3 linked regions of the Oryctolagus cuniculus genome follow. The protein of the gene in region 1 binds, or shares a complex with, the protein of each later gene. Links are inferred from orthologs where the notes say so. Each region holds a gene or a part of one and is shown in the gene's direction. Other genes may lie near its edges.

Evidence for each region. The genes of interacting proteins can lie anywhere in the genome.
Region 2: TAF11 (region 1) and TAF9 share a complex: the UniProt entries of both Homo sapiens proteins name them as parts of the TFIID basal transcription factor complex. The link is inferred for Oryctolagus cuniculus from reciprocal best matches to the Homo sapiens genes TAF11 and TAF9.
Region 3: TAF11 (region 1) and TAF5 share a complex: the UniProt entries of both Homo sapiens proteins name them as parts of the TFIID basal transcription factor complex. The link is inferred for Oryctolagus cuniculus from reciprocal best matches to the Homo sapiens genes TAF11 and TAF5.

What each region holds. Positions count from the first base shown.
Region 1 is NC_091436.1:134,547,963-134,555,179, forward strand, and holds the start of TAF11 (transcription initiation factor TFIID subunit 11), read left to right. Parts: upstream 1-3,020; 5' UTR 3,021-3,129; coding exon 3,130-3,300; intron 3,301-5,770; coding exon 5,771-5,919; intron 5,920-7,217. Other genes in the region: ANKS1A (ankyrin repeat and SAM domain-containing protein 1A), read right to left, coding at 1,528-1,721. UniProt on the Homo sapiens protein: The TFIID basal transcription factor complex plays a major role in the initiation of RNA polymerase II (Pol II)-dependent transcription.
Region 2 is NC_091445.1:90,325,210-90,332,220, reverse strand, and holds TAF9 (transcription initiation factor TFIID subunit 9), read left to right. Parts: upstream 1-2,477; 5' UTR 2,478-2,524; exon of another isoform or gene 2,525-2,597; intron 2,598-2,815; exon of another isoform or gene 2,816-2,831; coding exon of another isoform or gene 2,832-3,123; intron 3,124-4,998; coding exon of another isoform or gene 4,999-5,091; intron 5,092-5,843; 5' UTR 5,844-5,870; coding exon 5,871-6,665; 3' UTR 6,666-6,887; downstream 6,888-7,011. Other genes in the region: cell cycle checkpoint protein RAD17, read right to left, coding at 869-972, 2,031-2,241; AK6 (adenylate kinase isoenzyme 6), read left to right, coding at 2,832-3,123, 4,999-5,091. UniProt on the Homo sapiens protein: The TFIID basal transcription factor complex plays a major role in the initiation of RNA polymerase II (Pol II)-dependent transcription.
Region 3 is NC_091446.1:26,644,292-26,651,344, reverse strand, and holds the start of TAF5 (transcription initiation factor TFIID subunit 5), read left to right. Parts: upstream 1-2,519; 5' UTR 2,520-2,562; coding exon 2,563-3,121; intron 3,122-6,363; coding exon 6,364-6,601; intron 6,602-7,053. UniProt on the Homo sapiens protein: The TFIID basal transcription factor complex plays a major role in the initiation of RNA polymerase II (Pol II)-dependent transcription.

The sequences.
Region 1 (7,217 bases):
TCATGTGTTCAGTGTGAAATTATTGAGCACCTCTAAGGACAGGAGAAATAAGCCTGACAAAGACTGTCACTTTGATAGCTGGAAGAATACGCGTCCATTCTTATTTACCGTATCGTGCCCAACTACTCAAAAGTCCCAGTAGGAAGTTCTTCTCCCAGTGCCCCACAAGTACCCAATAGGCCAACTTTCTCACTTCTTTGCCTCCGATGAAGGGGTGCCCACCTGGAACACTCCCATTATACTTCATTTACCCAAATCATCTTAAGTCCCACTCTTCCTGCAAGAGGTGATCTCCTCCCCATCCCAAAGTGTTCTCTGAACTACCAACAACTATGGTAAGTACCGCCATCAGTTGACTTGGAAATCTGCGGTCCTCCAGCTGACACTTGTATGATTTGATAAATCATCCGTATCTACTATAGGCCAGTATTGTAAGGGCTGGCAAAACAGCAGGAAACGGTACTGCTCTGCTTGTTTGTTCTTTCCTTAAGGAAACTCCCGGGAAGGGTTCTTGTCTTACACTGCCTTTCCAAATCTTCCTGTGAAGACCGTGGTTGGTACTCAGTGCTTAAAATACTTGACTCGGGCTTCTTTTTTTGGTCCAAGCTCACCCAAATCGAAGTAACATAAATTAATGGGGAACAGAAGCTAACGAAGCCATTTCTAAATGAACTTCCACTTCTTAAAAACCTCAAAAGAACAAGGAAGGAAAACAGGCTATGAAAGTGCTGCTGAACCAACATATTTTACTCAATGACAAAGCATCTCCAATCCCCCTTCCAAGCGACACAGAACTCATTTTCCCCTCTCGAACCTCACAGCTTCGGATTCAAGTGTCCAACAACAGACCCCAGAAAATTTTAAAGCGCCCCTCCATTTCCCAACCAAGTCTTCCTAAACTTTCACTTCTTGATGAACAGACCCCAGAAGAACCCTGCAAGGAGGCTCATTACAAGGAACCACAATTCGAGCCTCAAGCACGAGAGGGGCTCCAAGACGAACTCTCCGAACGTGACCGATCCAGAGACAATTCTGATATAAACAGAAGCCAGGTTCTGCACAGCCTGGCGGAAGGCTGCAGGCTCCTGCGGGAAGGGAATCCCCTCCAGCAGAGCCGCGGCATTCTGCAAGCCGTGGGAGCTTCTGCAGGAGGTGAGGGAGGTCCCATACACACACACAGATCATTTGCTCTCAAGTGGCTTTTGTGAAGCAACGACAGCTGGCATCCCACAGCGGGCGAGGGTGACGCCGGGCTGTGCCATGCGGCGGAGCGGCCACCTGGGCACTCCCACCATTCTTCGCACCCGGGTCAGGACCGAGAGACAAGGAGAGCGGAGCGCCGCGCCAACTCGGACCCGCGCCCCCTCCGGCTTCCTGTCCCGCCGGCCGCCTGCCCTCGCTCCCCGAGTACGCCGCGAGCCCACCCCGCCGGGTCTCGGGAGCCCGACCTCTCCAGGGACCTAAAAGACGTACGGGCGGGCGGGGGGGGGGTCTCCAGGCGGCTGCCGGGCCCCGGCGCGTACCCACCTGAGCAGACTGGAGAGAGGGTGGCTGGAAGAGCCGAGGCCGCCGCCGCCGCCGCCGCCGCCGCCACTGCCCCCAGAGGAGCCGCCGCCGCCACCCCCGAAGCCTGAGGAGAGCCGCTTCCCGGACAGCAGCTTCTCCACGGCCGGGAGGTGCCCGGTGCGGGCCGCCTCCAGCAGCTCCTGCTCCTTCCCCATCCCCAGGGCCGCCACCCCAGGACCCCCCACCCCGGGGCCACCGTGGAGCCGGCTCGGCTCCCAAACTTTCCGTCTCCGGGCAACGCACCCCCTAAACCGGCCGGGGACACCACCCCCCTCCCCCCCCGCCTTTTCCCCACGAGCGCGTCACTTCCGGGATCCGGCGTCACGCGTCACCGCGCCCCCATGCCCCGCCCCCTTGCCCACCTAGCTGGGCGGGGCTCCGCGTCCCTGTGCAGGTGGACCTTGGTGTGTCAGGACAGGACTTGGGGGTCAATGGGGCAGTGCCATGTGGGTACCCATTGAAGAAGTGGAAAGGGACAAAGGGGACCCACCTGTGTACGCCTCCAAAGTGCGCTTCTTTTCCAAAGGTTTTGGGAGCTCACGGGACAGGAAATACGGTAATTCGTCCCGGCGGTGTGGAAACAAAGAGAGAAATATGGTAATACGCACCTACATTTCCAAGTCCGTTCTTTAAGCATAAAGCAGTATGTAACAGGTGCGGGAGCCTGGTAATACAGAGGTGAATAAAACGCCCTGCCCCTCCCTCCGCGTGCCTCAATGAAAAAAGGCAGGACATTTTAAAAGCAGAAATATCCTAGCCCCTTCACCATCCCAATCCGTGAAATGGCTCATTAAAGTGAAGCGCTCAAAGGAGAGACCTCCCACCCTGTAGGGATTCCTCATGATGAGACTGAGTGGGTAACAGAAGTCAGGCTTGAGAAACCTATCCCGATTTTCAGCACTGGCGAACTGGAAAAATCATTTAATTCGGTAGAAAATGTTTTTTCCCTGTACTAGCGCTGCTCCGGACTCAGAAACAGGCAGTCAACACTCGTGGAGTGAATGAATGGGTTGGATAAACACTGCTCAAGCAATAGGACTTTTTTTTTTTAAGGTGCTCGTGAAATATTCGTAGAGGGGAAATGGTGGCAATTCAATGTAAAGTCAGGCCCGCAGTCTGTCCAGGTGAAATAAAGGAGGTTGAGTCCCTGCCTGAAAGTTTGCTACCCCAAGGTTACGCGACAGCCGCGTACAAAAGGAGCAGTTTTCTCCCAGGTCCTCCAACTTTGAGGAAGAGGTTAACTGACAAAGCATTCTTAGAACGACGGAAAGGAAAAAGAAACCCTTCAGGAAGCACAACTGCACTTCTTCACAGGTGCTGGTCTCCAAGGACGGATCCACAGGGGACTTTGCACCCTCAGCGTTCTCTCTCCAGCACCACCCACCCAGGATTCAAACGGAGCCCTCAGGTGCTCCGCGCGCCCCCCATGGCCCTTCCGAGGACCAGTAGTGGTGACGACATCGCGGTGCGACGACAGGAAGTAAGCGCCCACTGTGCCGCGCGAGGTCCGGAGCTCCGCGGCCGACAGCACCGCGATCTCCTCCCCTTGCCGTTCTAGCTGTGATGGACAATGCCCGCGAGTCTCCTGCGGACAAAGGTGGGGAAGCAGGGGAGTCAGACGAGACGACTGCTGCTCCTGGGGGCCCGGGGACTGCGGACACGGACGGGATCCCGGAGGAAGCGGACGGAGACGGAGACGCGGACTTGAAAGAAGCGGCAGCGGAGGAAGGCGAGGTAGGCAGAGAAGTGTGACTGAGGTTGGAGGCATACGCCGGGATTGTGTTACCCGGAGCTCGCCACGATTCCCTCTAGATCTGCCGTCCGGGGAGTGTGGGAGGAGCAACAAAACTGTGGTGCTGGTTTGGTTCCAGAGACTCGAGCATTAGGTTTTAATATGTTTAGTCCTTGCCTTTCGGGATTAAAGCTACATCTAAGTGAATTTTAAATAGCTTCTTGGTTTTCCTATTGATGAAGTCGGTACTGTCATCCCGAGACTTAGTGCAAGAGCCAAAATCCAGGATTCCCAGCGCGCCTTTCACCGCACTATAGGTCCTCTTAGTTAATTGTTGTTTAAGTACAGCTTTCGTCTTTACAGGAGGCAGAGTTGATCAGATCTGTTAACGGGAGACTTTGAAGTCATATTCTCATCCAGCTGCTGCAGTGTCCTCCGTGCTAATGTCCAGGGGTTTCTATAACGTAAAAACACCAAATCCATCAGCTGTGCTCTCAGGATAGCTCAGCAGGGTTGCCTAACCGCGCAACAATCGCGACCAGAATCTCAGCGTCCTGTGGGTTCCTTTTCTAAAGAGAGAATTTCTAGGATCTTAGAGGCAGAAGGAACTGAAGAGCTCATGGACTGAACGTTAGATGGATAGCCTTGTCACCAAAACATACACGGTAAGCTTTTAGAAAAAGAGAAGACAGTTGACAAAGCTGAAGAAGGAAAAGTTAAAATGGGTCTCAAGGACGCAAAGGAATTGAATAATTAGCATGGTCCACTAAAGGAGCTCACTACAATATAGAAGTTTGGAGCCAGCAGAGGATAGAATTATGATGCTTTTGAAACATTTTTAAAAATTAGGCCGGCGCCGCGGCTCACTAGGCTAATCCTCCGCCTTGCGGCGCCGGCACACCGGGTTCTAGTCCCAGTCAGGGCGCCAGATTCTGTCCCGGTTGCCCCTCTTCCAGGCCAGCCCTCTGCTGTGGCCAGGGAGTGCAGTGGAGGATGGCCCAAGTCCTTGGGCCCTGCACCCCATGGGAGACCAGGAGAAGCACCTGGCTCCTGCCATCGGATCAGCGCGGTGCGCCGGCTGCAGCGCGCCGGCCGCGGCGGCCATTGGAGGGTGAACCAACGGCAAAGGAAGACCTTTCTCTCTGTCTCTCTCTCTCTCACTGTCCACTCTGCCTGTAAAAAAAAAAAAAAAAAAAAAAAAAAAAAAAAATTAATCAAAGACCAGCATTGTGGCACAGCAGGTTAAGCTACCTGCAACCCCAGAATCCCATATGGGCACTGGTTCAGTTCTGGCTGCTCCGCTTCCAGTCTAGGCCCTTGCTGATGTGCCTGGGAAGGCAGCTGAAGGTGGCCCAAGTTGAGCACCTGCACCCATGTAGGACTTCTGGCTTCCACCTGGCCCAGCCCTGGTGGTTGTGACCAATTGGGGAGTGAACTAGCAGATGGAAGAACTCTGTCTCTCCCTCTCTCTGTAACTCTGCCTTTCGATAAAAATTGATTATGTTGGGGCCAGCACTGTGGATTAGCTTTAAATATGTAACATAATGCATGTAAGTATGTAAAATATTTATTAATATTCTTTAAGTCAGAATCACAAAGTTGGGGGTGGGGGGTGGGGAGTGAGCAAGCTTCCATCTGCCTGTTCATTCCCCCAAATGGTCACAGTGGCTAGAGCTGGGCCAGGCTGAAGCCAGGAGTCAGTAGCTTCTTCCAGGTCTCCCACATGGGTGCAGGGGCCCAAGGACTTGGGCCATCTTTGGGCCATCTTCTGCTGCTTTCCCAAGCACATTAGCAGGGAGCTGGATCAGAAGTAGAGCAGCCAGGACTTGAACTGGCACTCATATGAGATGCCAGTGCTGCAGACAGCAGCTTAACCCACTATGCCACAGCATTGGCCCCTACATATTTTTGATTTTCAAAGAATGTACTTATTAGAAAAAAAAAATGGCCTATCTGCTGATTCACACTCCAAATGCCCAAAACAGCTCAGACACTCTAATAGGGGACATGGACATCCCAACCAGCATCTCAGATTTTCACTCCAGGGCCTCCTTTTTAATAATCTTTCTAAATTGAATCGTCAATAGTAAAAATATCTTTGGATCCAGAGGAGAAGAGCTGGCTGGCTGGAGAGGGCTTTGGTGACATCCCCTGTAAGGAATGAGCAGGAGAGAGAGTCCATGGAGAGAGTGGTTTTCATGATCTTGGCCATTTCTTTATCCTTGTATACAGACACTGAAGCTGTGATCATAGCTAAACTGGAAAACTAGATTATTTAACTGGTTCTTTCTACAGCCTAACTAACCTTCCTTGAGGAGAGATACTGTATCTTATACTGGGTGGAACAGTCAGTTCTGGGACAAAAAAACTACACAATAAGTGGATCTGTTGTGTTATGAGGATGATGTCTTAACCTTAGCCAAGCCTGGAAAGTAGGACAAATATATAATAGAGTTCTTTTCATCTTCCCAGCTCAAAAGTCAGGACGTCTCCGATTTAACAGCAGGTGAAAGGGAAGACGCGTCATTACTTACTCCTGCAGCCAAAAAACTGAAAATCGATACCAAAGAAAAGAAAGAGAAGAAGCAGAAAGTGGATGAAGATGAGATTCAGAAGATGCAGTAAGTCTCTTTTTGTTCCTTCCCCTTTTCAGAGCTCCAGCCTGACCACACAAATTTAATAAATTTGTCTTGGCCTCTACATTTCTAACTCAAGAGGAAATAAACTAATTAATACATTGTTATAGTATAGAAAATGTGAATAAGTAAAAAGAAAACTCATCGCCCTGCCACCAAGAGGTATATACTGCCAATACTTTAATGTATATGATCCCAGGTGTTTTCTCTACACATATAACTTATAAAATTAATAAGTTTTTACAAGGTTTTTGTTTTGTTTTGCAAAATGTCAAATACTGGAGCCAGCATTGTGACACAGTGGCCTAAGCTGCTGCTTGCAACTCTGGCATCCCATTCTGCAGTGTCAGTTTGGGTCCTGGCTGCTCCACTCCCATCCAGCTCCTGCTAATGGAAGGCAGCAGATGCCCCGAGTACTTGGACTCGCTGCCACTCATGTGGGAGAGCAGGAAGGAGTTCTTGGTGCCTGGCTTCCACCTGGCCCAGACCTGGCTCTTGTGGCCATTTGGGGAGTGAACCAGTAAATGGAAGATCTCTCTGCCTTTCAAATAAATAAATAAATCTTTTTTAAAAATAAAAGTCCTATTTCATAACCTGCTTTTCCTATTATATATGGCATTTCTCATATCAACAGTTCTACCTCTAGGACATAATTTTTGTGAAAATGGAAATAGCTTTATTATATTTTCTGATTATAAAAGTGGTGTTAGCTCATTATAAATATAGAAAAAATTAATGCTATCGCAGCATTTACTCTAAGTATATATGTTTGGGTACAATAAATTGGGCATATACTTTTTCAGATTTTCAACAGTGGTTGGTGTATACAGCTAAATATTTTCCTATCAGCAGATACACCCATGAATCTTCATTTTTAATAGCTGCCATTTGTCCCATTATGTGGCTCAGCTGGAATGTAACCAATCCTGTAACTATGCGGGTTGAGTCTTTTCCTTTTACAACATTTTGAGGTGTCCTTGGACACATGTTTGCATATTTGTCCATTACTTCCTACAATAAACTCCTAGAAGTATAATTGCTGGTTCAAACAATATGAACATTTTCAAAGGCTTTTCTTTTTCTTTTTCTTTTTCTTTTACAGATAGACTGTCCATCTGCTGATTCTCTCCCCAAAAGGTCCCAACAGGCAGGGCTGGGCCAGACCTAACCTGGAGCCAGAAGCTTCTTGCAGGTTTCCCACATGGATATAGGAGCCCAAGGACTTGGGCCATCTTCCACTGCTTTCTCAGGCCAGAGCAGAGAGCTGGATCAGAAGTAGAGCA
Region 2 (7,011 bases), on another chromosome or scaffold:
GATTTGCCCATTACTTACCCACTTTATAGTTGTATTTTTTACATAAATGTGAATTCCAATCTACTGGAAAAAAGAATCAGCGAAATTGATAATTTACTTAAGATCAGTGAAAATGAGAGATACTACCAAGGAAAAACAGCTACCATGCAGGTACATTGATACTGTCTGACCCCATGCCCTCCCACACCCTATCTTTCTGAGAACTGACACGCACTGGGCAACGAAGTACAGCCTGGGGTTAAGCTGAATCACCAACCACCATTCGTGTGTCTCTTTCTTCTTCTTCTTCTTTTTTTTTTTTTTTTTGAGACAGGCAGAGTGGACAGTGAGAGAGAGAGAAAGGTCTTCCTTTTGCCGTTGGTTCACCCTCCAATGGCCGCCGCGGCCGGCGCACCGCGCTGATCCGATGGCAGGAGCCAGGAGCCAGGTGCTTTTCCTGGTCTCCCATGGGGTGCAGGGCCCAAGCACTTGGGCCATCCTCCACTGCACTCCCTGGCCACAGCAGAGAGCTGGCCTGGAAGAGGAGCAACCGGGACAGAATCCGGCGCCCCGACCGGGACTAGAACCCGGTGTGCCGGCGCCACAGCAGAGGATTAGCCTAGTGAGCCGCGGCGCCGGCCTTTCTATGCTCTTTCATTCGAGAGTTTTTAGCCTTTTCTTTGTGACTGGGCTTGCAAACACTTTTTCAAAATTAAAATTGTGCTTTTAGGTTCAGTTGTTCCAGAACTTATTAACAGACTTGTTTAGATCACTAATTTCAAAAAAAAATGGGCACCATTATTCTGATAGCAGTCAGTCATTAAGAGCATGTGTAAAAACACCTAATTCATTTAGGTAACTATCACATGGCCATTTTAGTGTGACATACCTTTGTGGAAGACACCTTTGGTCTAAGAAAAGTGTTTGACATCATAAATCTTAATAGTTCCCATGCGTAGTACACAATCTGTAGCACAACAAAGTATAAATCACCTAGAGGAAATAGGAAAAACTCACTTCAAGTCAAGAACTGTAAGCACAGTTAAGTCGATATAACCAACAACATAACAACATCAAGGCTCAAGAACTAGTGAAAGCAAGCATGGTAAACAGGAGAAAAATCAGAACGTTACAACAAGTTAGAGGAATCTATCTGATGTTTTTTATGAGAAAACACAGCAACATATTTGGGTGCTGACCTTCTCTCAAAAAGAAAAATCAGGCAATTCTGAGAAGTTTTTAACACCAAAAATTAAACTATTCCTTTACTCCAATCCGTTGCAAGCTATTACATCTTCATTTCTAAAGTTTCAAAAAAAGGCAAGATACAATGAATTCAGACATATCAGTTACTTTGAATAAAACAGTTGAATCTCACTGTCAGTTTTTCTAGAACTTCCTTTGAGCACGCCATCAGAAAACGTCTTGGCATCACTGTTTTCCGATTTGCGTGATTCGTCAATACTGATGGAAAGCAGTGAATTCAACCATTTTAGGGCCGCCAGGAGGAACGATTTTCAAGGCCAACAAACTGTACCCTGGGAAGGTGTACTGGACTATCTGAGGAGGCACACTTCCACACACTGGCAGTCATTCACCTCTGAGAGTAGACCGCTATCAGCAATGCACAGTAGCAAAAAAAAAAAAAAAAAAAAAAAAAAAATCGATTCAATGTAGCCGACAGTCAGCACTGCAGCCGCTCAGTGAAAGCGAGACCGACAATTACCTCCTTGGAAAAGCAGGTAACTGTCAGCGACGATGCCCGTTTCCTGAAATTAGATGTCAGAGGCAGAAGACACGTTCAGGACCATCCCGAGCCCACCCACCACCACCCCACGCGCTGCACAGCCGGTCCTGAGCTCAGACATTCGTTCAGCGCCATCCTGCAACCAGCCGGCAGCCAGGCTGAGCTCGTCGGTCCCCGCTCCAGGCCGGGGCACCGCAACCCCGTCTCTCTCGTCCCAGGCGGGACGGGAGGGCATGGAGGCAGAGATGGGCTCGCGCGTCCAGGACACACACAGAAAACACCGCCACAACCGCGACGGCCTTACTTTCCGGGAGCCGCATTCCCCTCCCTCGTGGGCGGAGAGGAGCCAAGGAGCGCGGGGCCGGCTCCGGTGTTGGGGTGGCCACCCGACCCTCCCCGGGCTCGGCACCGAGCCTCTCGGGGGTCCCGCCTCCCGGGGTCCTTCCACACCCGTCGGCGCCTCGGCGACGCGGCGCGAAGGGCGGGGGCCCCAGGCGCGCGAGCGACATAGGCATCCAGCGCACTGCCTGACTCAGAGCGCGCAGCGAGCTGGCTCCCGGCCTCCATTCACGCCACGGAAGCGTGTCACAGAAGCCCAGGGAACCGCTGGCGGCGGCTGGGACTGCGGAGCTGGGCCGGGAGCGGGCGCCCGGCACGGCCTCGAGGACCCCGCGGCCGCCGGCGCTGGCGCTGCCCGCCCCTTCCGGCTCCTCCTCGCGGTGCGTAGGGCGCGCGCAGAGGAGGCGCTCGGGGCGTCCGCCGGGACGACTATGCGGCTGCCGAACATTCTGCTCACCGGTCAGGGCGCGCGGCGGGGACGGGACGCGCGGGGGGCTCCGGGCGCCGGGCGGGGAGCGCCGGGCTGCAGCGGGCGGCCGGGCGGGGGCCGCGGGGCGCGACGGTGGCCGGGGCCTGCGGACGCGGCGCGGGGCGGGGGCGGCCGCGGGGCGCGGGGAAGCCGGCCGGGACCCGGCGCTCCGGTGTGGGCAGGCTCCGTTATCTTTATAATAGAGACCCTGGTGTTCTGCTCGGAAAGCCAGCTTTGGCGTCTCTGGTCGGGTTGCTTTGGGGTTTCCCGGAGGTAACGTGCGGAAGCGTGTCGGCCATGGCGGAGGCCTCGCGTCGTGGGCCTTCGCGGGTGGGCGCGGGTGCTGGCGGCGTGGCGGAGCGCGTGCAGTCACTGCGGCCGTGTGCTGGGGTAGTGTCCAGGCGCCTGCCTCCCTTTGTGATGGGAGCGCACGCTGTGGAGCCCCCGGCTGCTCGTGAGCCCCTGCGGGTCTCGGACACTGACCCGCTGTGGCCAGCGAAGCGGCTAGAACGCTGGGCCTCTAGGCCTGAGACGTGTCCGTTGAGAGCGTCCTGCGCCGTTCGTGGGGGAATCTATGGAGCGTATCGAAGTATTAAGAGATTGTGAAGAGTTGTGTTTTTTTTTTTTTTTTTTGAAGATTTGTTTGTTTGAAAGTTACAGGGAGAGGGAGGGAGGAGACGCAGATCTCGCATCTGCTGCGCTGGTTCACTCCCGGCAGGATCGCAGTGGCGGGGGCTGAGCCAGGCAAAGCCAGGAGCTTCACCCGGGTCTCCTGCACGGGTGGCAGGGGCCCAAGCAGTTGAGCCGTCTGCCACTGCTTTCCCCCGGCCCTGAGCAGGGAGCCGGACTGAAGTGGAGCAGCCAGACACCACGGGCACTCGTACAGGGTGCTGGAGTGGAAGGCAGCGGCTTTGCCCCTACTCCACAGCCCTGAACCCTGAAAAGGTTTTTTCCCTTCAACATTTAACGAAACTTGACATTTTTGGCAGCCCACAAAGATTGTTCCTAGGTGCTGCGCAGTAGCCCCTCAGCTAGTGAGTTTTTAGCCTGTGAGATTCATTATGATGAAGATTTTGCAGCATCTGATTTGCATGGATTAGTGTCCTGATTAATGCTGTAAAAAAAAAATCTGGTGTGAATATTTTAATGAAAGTTGAGTCCAGGGTTCAGACTTGGTATAATATAGTAGACAGGGGTTAAATGTCCTGCATGTGGAGATTGGATTTATACATGTTAATAATGCTCAGATGTAATCATTAAAGTGTCATTAAACATTGAGAAGCTGAAAATTATGCGTTTGATTATCTTGGAATATAATTCTTTTAGACGTAAAAGGGGAAAGGTATAGAACAATGCATAGTATTACCATTTATGTAAAAGGCAATACAAGTGGCATGTGTTTTTGCACATAGGATATGCTACCTACACCTACTTCTGTGTATAGACACACATGCATAGGACTTCTTCGGAAAGGTATGCAAAAGACTAGTTACAGTGGTTCCCAGACTAAGGTTTGTTCCATGAGCAATTTTTTTTTTTTTTTTTTTTTTTTCTTTTTGGACAGGCAGAGTTAGACAGTGAGAGAGAGAAACAGAGAGAAAGGTCTTCCTTCTGTTGGTTCACCCCCCAAATGGTTGTTACGGCTGGCGCGCTGCGCCGATCCGAAGCCAGGAGCCAGGTGCTTCTCCTGGTCTCCCATGGGGTGCAGGGCCCAAGCACTTGGGCCATCCTCCACTGCACTCCCAGGCCACAGAAGAGAGCTGGACTGGAAGAGGAGCAACTGGGACAGAATCCGGCGCCCCCACCGGGACTAGACCCCGGAGTGCCTGTGCCGCAGGCGGAGGATTAACCTAGTGAGCTGCGGTGCCGGCCAATGAACAATTTCTTAATCTTTTAAAATAAAAGCAAATAAATGACAGTAATTGATTTGAGGTGGCTGATTTTATTGTGGGCAGTCTGACGTTGGTGGCAGCAGTCAGAATTTGTATTCCCACCCATGGAGAAACATTGCGTGATTCTGACATCCAGAGCTTTTTTGCAGAAAAATTTTTTTAATTCGGGAGAGCACTCATGCATGTTCTCATCCACTGATGGACTCCCCAAATGCCTGTGCTGCCAGAAACCAGGAAGTCAGCTCAGTCCTGCTACCTGGATACTTGAGCAGTCCTCTGCCTCCTGGGATCTGCATTGGCAGGAAGCTGAAGTCAGGAGTCAGAGCCAAATACCGAACTTAGTCTAAACTCAAACATGGGAGGTGGGCATCCTAACCTCTACAGACACCTGCCCTGGGAGATTTTGTTTAGTTGGTTTTGTATATTCACATCTGGTTGCTTACTACTATTTTTGTATATTCACATCTGGTTGCTTTCCTACTAGGAAAGTTGTTAAGAACCTTACAAAGGGTGGAAGTAGTTGAAGTCTATAATAGTATTTCATAGGCATTTTTCTGTGATTTGTCTTACAGGTACTCCAGGGGTTGGGAAAACCACACTAGGCAAAGAACTTGCATCAAGATCAGGACTGAAATACGTTAATGTGGGTGATTTAGCTCGAGAAGGTAAGGGGATGCTTTAGTGTTGGGTTTTTGTTTTTGTTTTTGTTTTTGTTTTTCTTGCAGTCGGCTAGTGGAATTATTGGTACTGTTAGGTATTGTGAGAGGGTACAAAAGCAGAGACAGATTCCTATTATGGAATTTGTGCTCTATCCGGAGCCTACAGAAAAAGAAGATACTAAGTGTCCAATACTGTGTCCTTTTTATTTTGATTATTTCCACCTCCTTCTCCCCAAATTGGCTAGCAATTCTTGTGAGTAGAAATAATTAGGAAGGCTTCCATGAAGAAATTGGGACTTGGGATCTGAATATGAGGCAGAAGGAGAATGTTTTGAGTTGGACAAACACAGAGGTTTGGGTGATGCCACACATATATAGGACAGTGAGTAAATTGACAACATTAGAAAGATTAATTTTGAATTCAAGCAGTAGAATATGATTGTTCTATAGTATTAGATTATTTCAAAGCGGTGCATGTTTTTACAGATTTAACCATATTTTCCCCTAGTTTTTTAGTTAGTCCTTTATTTTTGTCTTCATCTTTTTATACTCTAGAATGATTTTTAACAGGGTAGGAACTCAGTAAGTGTAAGTAAAGGAAACTTTTAAGTGTGTCTTGTTGAAATTAAAAATATTTAACATGTTTTAAAATTTAAATTTATTTTTTAAAGGATATAACGCATATTTTAAAAAACTAAGTTCCTAGAAGTTGCTACTGAAGTTTTTCAGTTTGATCTAATATACATATTTTTTTCAAGTGATCTAAAGTTTGATCACCGGATATCATGGAGTCTGGCAAGATGGCTTCTCCCAAGAGCATGCCGAAAGATGCACAGATGATGGCACAAATCCTGAAGGATATGGGGATTACAGAATATGAGCCAAGAGTTATAAATCAGATGTTGGAGTTTGCATTCCGATATGTGACCACAATTCTAGATGATGCAAAGATTTATTCGAGCCATGCTAAGAAAGCTACTGTTGATGCAGACGATGTGCGGTTGGCAATCCAGTGTCGTGCTGACCAGTCTTTTACTTCTCCTCCCCCAAGAGATTTTTTATTAGATATTGCAAGGCAAAGAAATCAAACCCCTTTGCCATTGATCAAACCATATTCAGGTCCTAGATTGCCACCTGATAGGTACTGTTTAACCGCTCCGAACTATAGGCTTAAGTCTTTGCAGAAAAAGGCGTCTACTTCTGCAGGAAGAATAACGGTTCCGCGGTTAAGTGTTGGGTCAGTTACTAGCAGACCAAGTACTCCCACACTAGGCACCCCAACTCCACAGACCATGTCTGTTTCTACTAAAGTAGCTACTCCAATGTCCCTCACAGGACAGAGGTTCACAGTACAGATGCCTGCTTCACAGTCACCCGCTGTGAAGGCATCAATTCCTGCAACATCAGCAGTTCAGAATGTTCTCATTAATCCATCGTTAATTGGGTCCAAAAACATTCTTATTACCACTAATATGGTGTCATCACAGAATACTGCCAGTGAAACAAATGCATTGAAAAGAAAACGTGACGATGATGATGACGATGACGATGATGATGATGATGACTATGATAATTTGTAATCTAACCTTGATGCATGTCATGTGTACTTGGTCTTGAATCCATTGTACTGAAATTAAACAAGTATGTTTGATGTTTTCAAGTTGTGTTTGAGAAAACCTGTATAGTATTTAAGTATATATAAGTATAGTTTTCAGTTGAAATGTTGGATTTTCTTTAATAAGATTAGTAGTGGTTTTTCATCAGCCTTTAAGTGTAAAAAATAAAGTTGTTTATCTGTTTGATTATTGGTACTGTGGCGATTATGTTTTTAAAAACGCAGTTTTTGTGCATTGTTAACAGCAGTAATAGTTGTAATAACTTCAAGCTGTTGTAGTCCATTACCATTAACATGTAACCTCTAATGTC
Region 3 (7,053 bases), on another chromosome or scaffold:
GGCCGGCGCCGTGGTGCAATAGGTTGATCCTCCGCCTGTGGCACCGGCATCCTATATGGGTGCTGGTTCTGGTCCTGGCTGCTCCTCTTCTAATCCAGCTGTCTGCTATGGCCTGGGAAGGCAGTGGAGGATGGCCTAAGTGCTTGGGCCCCTGCGCCCACGTGGGAGACCTGGAGGAGGCTCCTGGCTCCTGGCCTCAGATTGGTGCAGCTCTGGCTGTAGCAGCCATTTGGGGAGTGAACCAGTGGAGGGAAGGCCTTTCCCTGTCTCTCCCTCTCACTGTCTGTAACTCTACCTCTCCAATAAATAAATAAAAAATTCTTAAAAAAAGAGAGAGATAAAGAGGGAGAGGGAGAGAGAGAGGGAGGGAGGGAGAGAGAGAGAGAGAGGGAAATCATGCTTCAGTTTTCACTTCCCAAGTACATGCAACAGCCAGGTCTGCGCCAAGCCAAAGCCAGAAATCAGGAGCTTAATCTGAAGCTTTCCAGTGGATGGCAAGGATTCAATTTTTGATTAAACATTTACAGAATACTTTTTTTTAAAAAGATTTATTTATTTGAGAGGTAGAGTTACAGAGAGAGGGAGGCATAGAGAGAAAGATCTTCCATCTGCTGGTTCATTCCTCGAATGGCTGCAACAGCCAGAGCTGGTCTGATTTAAAGCCAGGAGCCAAGAGCTTCTTCCAGGTCTCCCAAGCAGATGCAGGGGCCCAAGCACTTGGACCATCTTTTTCTACTTTCCTAGGCCATAGCAGAGAGCTGGATTGGAAGTGGAGCAGCCAAGTCTCGAACCACCGCTCATATGGGATTCTGCTGCTGCAGTCGGAGGCTTAGCCTACTATGCCGATACATCATAGCACCAACTCCTACAGAATACCTTTTAAGGTGAAGTTAAACCAACTACTAGTGGGGGAGGACACCTGGGGCAGCTGGTAGGATGATGCTTGCAATACCTGTATATCACATTGGTGTACCTGGGTTTGAGTCCTGGCTCTACTTCTCATTCCAGCTTCCTTGCTAGTGGGCACTCTGGAAGACAGCAAGTGAGGGCCCAAATGGTTGGATCCTTAGTACCCAAGTGGGAGATCCAGATTGAGTTCTGGGTGCCTGGTTTCAGCTGTCCCTGGCCTGGTTGTTGCAGGTATTTTGGGCCAGCAGATGGATGATCTCTCTTTCAAACAGTTAAAATATACAATTTACTTGTAATAATGGATAGCAGTTGGAATATACAACGTACAAATTTCACAATCACAAACTTCCAGTACTTTAAAACTTTTTATTGAAATGTATATGCTGGGGCCAGTGCCATGGTGCAGTAGGTTAATCTTCTGCCTGCACTGCTGGTATCCCATATGGGCGCTGGTTCATGTCCCAGCTGCTCCTCTTCCAACCCAGCTCTCTGCTATGGTCTGGGCAAGCAGTAGAGGATGGCCCAAATCCTTGAGCCCCTGCACCTGCATGGGAGACCAGGAAGAAGCACCTGGCTCCTGGCTTCAGATGGGTACAGCTCCGGCTGTTGTGGCCATTTGGGGAGTGAACCAACGGAAGGAAGACCTTTCTCTCTGCCTTTCCCTCTCATTGTCTGTAACTTTACCTCTCAAATAAAGAAATAAAAATCTTAAATGTATATGTATGTATATATATATATATATATATATATATATATATATATATGCTGAGGCCAGTGCTATGACTCACAGGGTTAAAGCCCCGGCCTGCAGTGCTAACATCCCATATGGGTGCTGGTTCCAGTGCCCAAGTCTTCTGATCCAGCTCTCTGCTAATGCACCTGGGAAAGCAGTGGAAGATGGCCCATGTACTTGGGCCCCTGCACCCACGTGGGAGACCCAACAGAAGTTCCCGGCTCCTGGCTCTGGATCAGCTCAGCTTAGCTCTGGCCATTGCAGCCAACTGGGGAGTGAACCAGATGGAAGACTTCGTTCTCTGTCTCTATCTCTTTCAAATAAAAAAATAAATCTTTAAAATATTTATATGTATGCTGTAACGTTCACAAAATTATTTAAGCATGCAACTCGATTTGTAAGAACTGCCAAAAAAAAAAAAAAAAAAAAAAGGAAGTAACCACTATCCACATCAAAATGCAAAACATTAGCAGTATCTTGGAAGCATCCTTCGGGCAAACGACGCGTGCTTTAGTGCTAAGAACATGGCTTTGAGTCGTGACACTTAAGACTTCTTGTGTGTGACTTCAGCAAGTTATTTAACCTCTCTGGGTTGTAGTTAAGCCACTTCTAAAGACTGTTGAATTAAAGGCTTCCATATAATAACGAAGATCGTCTATCACAGTGCCTGAATATAACTGGCCTGCAATAAACAGTAATTATGGTCAGGCAAATATAGAGGCGGTCACCAACTCCCACTTCCTGCCGGCCTTTCGCTCATTTTTTGAAAGTTGCTCTCGCTCCCAGCCCTTTTCTCCTTCTCTCTCGCTCCTCCTACTGCCGTAAATAGCCGACCAGAGCTGTCGTGAAATGCTCCTCCCCGCCCTCCATGTGGCGAAAACGCAATCACGCTTGACGGCGCGAGGTGGCTCAGCCGCAAGATGGCGGCGCTGGCGGAGGAGCAGACGGAGGTGGCGGTCAAGCTAGAGTCTGAGGGACCACCGACGCTGCTACCTCCGCAGGCGGGTGACGGCACAGGCGAGGGCACCGTCGGCATTACCAACAACGGCCCCAACGGCAGTGGCGGGAACGTTGCGGCGGCGTCGTCGGCCGGCGGGGATGGCGGGACCCCCAAGCCCGCGGTGGCTGTCTCCGCTGCTGCCCCGGCGGGGGCGGCTCCGGTACCTGCCGCTGCCTCGGAGGCTGGTGCTCCCCACGACCGACAGACTCTGCTGGCGGTGCTGCAGTTTCTACGGCAGAGCAACCTCCGCGAGGCCGAAGAGGCGCTGCGCCGCGAGGCCCGGCTGCTGGAAGAGGCAGTAGCGGGCTCCGGAGCCCCGGGAGAGGTGGACGGCGCCGGCGCTGAGGCGGCTAGCTCGCTTCTCAGCCGGGTCACCGCCTCGGCCCCCGGCCCGGCGGCCCCCGACCCTCCGGGCACCGGCGCTTCGGGGGCGACGGTTGTCTCCGGCTCAGCCTCAGGTCCTGCGGCTCCGGGGAAAGGTGAGCCGGGGGGTCCCGGGGAAGCCGGGCCGGCGCGAAGGGGAGCTAGCCGGGAAGGCGAGGGCTGGCAGGCCTGCACCTCTGCGGGCTTGTTTTGAATTTCCTGGGCCCGCCTCTAGGGCCACATGCCCGCCCCTTTCCCGAGTGCGCCGGCTGCGCAGTCAACCCTCGTCTGAGCTGTCAGTTGCAGCGAGAGGCTGAACAGAGCTGTGGATCTGAGCTGTGTGGGGAAGGTGGGCGCGGGGAGGCGGGGACCTCCAGGCTTCGGCCCCTTTTCTCCCGTTTGGGCTTTTAAGCTTTGGGCAAGTCTGCATTGACAGCGACAGTCTTTGTGGAATTCTGTACTGGCGTATTTTAAGCTGTAAATACTTGGCAGTCTCGGTTCTCACAGTTTCATTGAGGCGGACATGACCTCTATTTTGGAGACAAGGAAACAGATTTCTTGAGCGATCCCAAGGAGCTTGCCTTGGGTCTCGGTAGCCAGGGAGTGATGGAACATGGTGTACCCAGCATTTCTCAAAATACGGGCTAGGCACCAGCAGTGCTGTGTCTTCGGGGCATCATTTCAGACGGAGGGAATCAGACCCTTAGAGGTAGAGTCTGGGAACCTGCGTTTTTGAGTTGGTGCTTCCAAGAAGTATGGATGGGTCGTGAAGTTTGAGAACTCTAAGTTTTAGGAGCCATAAGGTGGACAGACCTCTTTGTCTCTGCTGCTTTTACTTGTGTGATGTTGATTGACTCATTTTTTCCTAAGGTTACTTTTTTTTTTTTCTATTAACTGAGTTTTTATGAGACTCAGATGTAATATCTGTAAAATGCCTTGTGCTGATAGGCTCTTTCCTCTCCATCCCTGACACCCGAGACCACACCTTTCTTCCAGTAAATGTCATAAGTCTTTGCAGTACAATTCATACACAATGTAAGATCTTGAAGGTGATCCTGAACCAACAATAAATATTCATTGAATTAAATTATATGTTGCAGAGCCTCTAGCCAAATTAATCTGTATTTATGTGACCTAATCTTTGCAGCATTGCCAGAAGTGAAGTTTGAATACATAGTGTTGTATTTCATAGATAGAAATGCCCAAAATGTGGTTGGGAGGAATTTCTTCTTAATATTGAATTTTGTGAATGAACTATAAAATGAGTTATATTGTTGGTTATTTTACTGTCATCTCTTGATTCTGAAACTAAATCAGTTTTTAGATCATAATTGAGAAGTCAGTAAGGAGGAAAAGAGGCCATTAGAGTAACCCAAAGAATTACATTTATGCCATAGAAAGCGTAACTGTATTATTATTGCAATTTAAATTTCCACTTACCCAAAGTAATTTGATTGACAGATGTAACTTTGATATTCCTATATTAGAAATAGATACTCTGGGCCGGCGATGCGGCTCAGTAGGCTAATCCTCTGCCTGCGGCGCCGGCACCCTGGGTTCTAGTCCCAGTTGGGGTGCTGGATTCTGTCCCGGTTGTTCCTCTTCCAGGCCAGCTCTCTGCTGTGGCCCAGGAAGGCAGTGGAGGATGCACCTGCATGGGAGACCAGGAGGAAGCACCTGGCTCCTGGCTTTGGATCGGTGCAACGTTCCAGCCGTAGTGGCCACTTAGGGGGTGAACCAACGGAAAAAGGAAGACCTTTCTCTCACTCTCACTGTCTAACTCTGTCTGTCAAAAAAAATAAAAGAAAAAAGAAAAAGAAATAGATACTTTGTCTTCTTCCTTGAAATAGTGGTTATGGAAATTGCTTTAAGCATATACAATTGAGTTAGTTTTAGGTGTGGGGCAGTGCCAACATCCCATATGGACACGGGTTCAAGTCCTGGCTGCTCCACTTCAGTCCAGCTTTCTTCTGTGGCCTGAGAAAGCAGTAGAAGCTGGCCCAGATCCTCAGGCCTTGGAAGAAGCTCCTGGCTCCTGGCTTCGGCTCAGACCATCTGTGGTTGTTGCAGCCATTTGGGGAGTGAACCAGTGGATGGAAGACCTCTCTCTCTCTCTCTCTCTGCCTCTGCTTTCAAATAATAAATAAATAAATATATTTTAAAAAATTAGGTGTGGCCCTTCCCATTCTAAAAATGCCTACATTTTACTTTTAATATTTATTATTACTTTTAATTATTAAATTATTAAATATTATTAATTTTAATATTTATTTGAAAGGCAGAGTTACAGAGAGAGGGAGAGAGAGAGGTCTTCTATCCACTGGTTCACTCCCCAATGGCCACAATGGCCAGAGCTGGGCTGATCTGAAGCCAGGAGCCTGGAGCTTCTTCCGGGTCTCCCATGTTAGTGCAGGGGCCCAAGGACTTGGGCCATCTTCTGCTTTCCCAGGCACATCAGTAGGGAGCTAGACTGGACATGGAGCAGCAGCACCCGTGTGGGATACTGGCCCTGCAGATAGAGGCTTTAGACGTGTATGTAGGAAGGTAATACAGGATAGGATGTATCACAGGAATGTTACAAAGTACTGAGTAGCTGGGAGAGCCTGGAGCGCTACTCTAGGGCACGGTTTGGTGGTCCTGGTGGTGGTGGTGGGTGCTATTTGTACTGAGCCTTGAGAGATTAATGTGTTTTTTTGCTTTGGCCATACCTACATTTATGCGATTTGCATTTAAAACAGATAGCGCCATTAAAAAAGGTATTAAACCTTCTTGTTATTGATGTGATTTTTTTTTTTTTTTGACAGGCAGAGTGGACAGTGAGAGAGAGAGACAGAGAGAAAGGTCTTCCTTTTGCCGTTGATTCACCCTCCAGTGGCCGCCGCAGCTGGTGCGCTGCGGCTGGCGCACTGCGCTGATCCGAAGCCAGGAGCCAGGTGCTTCTCCTGGTCTCCCAGGGGGTGCAGGGCCCAAGCACTTGAGCCATCCTCCACTGCACTCCCGGGCCACAGCAGAGAGCTGGCCTGGAAGGGGGGCAACCGGGACAGAATCCGGCGCCCCGACTGGGACTAGAACCCGGTGTGCCAGTGCCACTAGGTGGAGGATTGGCCTATTGAGCCGTGGCGCCAGCTTGATGTGATATTTTAAGATATGGACATGCTGATGGGGTTTTGGCTTGGGTAACTGAGACAAATGTGGAATTTCATGAAAAGATTATGTAATTATTTTAAGGAAGAGAGGTTGAGAGAAAAGGGACAAATATCTGAGAAACAGTTCACCTCTGGACCATAGCAAAACAGCCATGGTCACATGGTACGTATTATATCATTTTCTTAAAGGTTATCTTTTATTTTTTTAACAGTTGGAAATGTCGCTGTGGAAGACCAACCAGATGTCAGTGCTGTGTTGTCGGCCTACAACCAACAAGGAGATCCGACAATGTATGAAGAATACTATAGTGGACTCAAACACTTCATTGAATGTTCTTTGGACTGCCATCGGGCAGAGTTATCCCAACTCTTTTATCCTCTGTTTGTGCACATGTACTTGGAGCTGGTCTACAATCAACATGAGAATGAAGCAAAATCATTCTTTGAGAAGTATGTGAATTTTTCCATATATTACACACACACACACACACACACACACATATCTGTGATCCTGCAAATTTAAGATTGCAACTCAGAAAGTACTTTATAAAGGAGAGGAACCTAAAATGGGAGCCGCGGAGGGGGGTGGATCCCAGAGGGAGCGATGCTTGAGGTGAGAGCTAAAGACTGGGTAGAGTTATCCATATGAAGAGAAGAGAGAAAAGTGTTTGAAAGCTCTGTGGCAAAATGGACCATGGTAGCTGCAAAGACTGAAAGGAGCAAGGTCTGAAGTGGGGGTGTGGTACAGCAGGAAGCTCAGGGATTGGTTAGGACTGGAGTGACAGCAGGTTCTTAGGGTATGTTGAGGGTCTTCGTCGTAAAGAGCAGTGGGGAGTTGTCCTGGGTAGGAGTAAATTTGGCTGAAAGTCACTAAAAACTCAAACTGGTAGCCTAAATAAAAC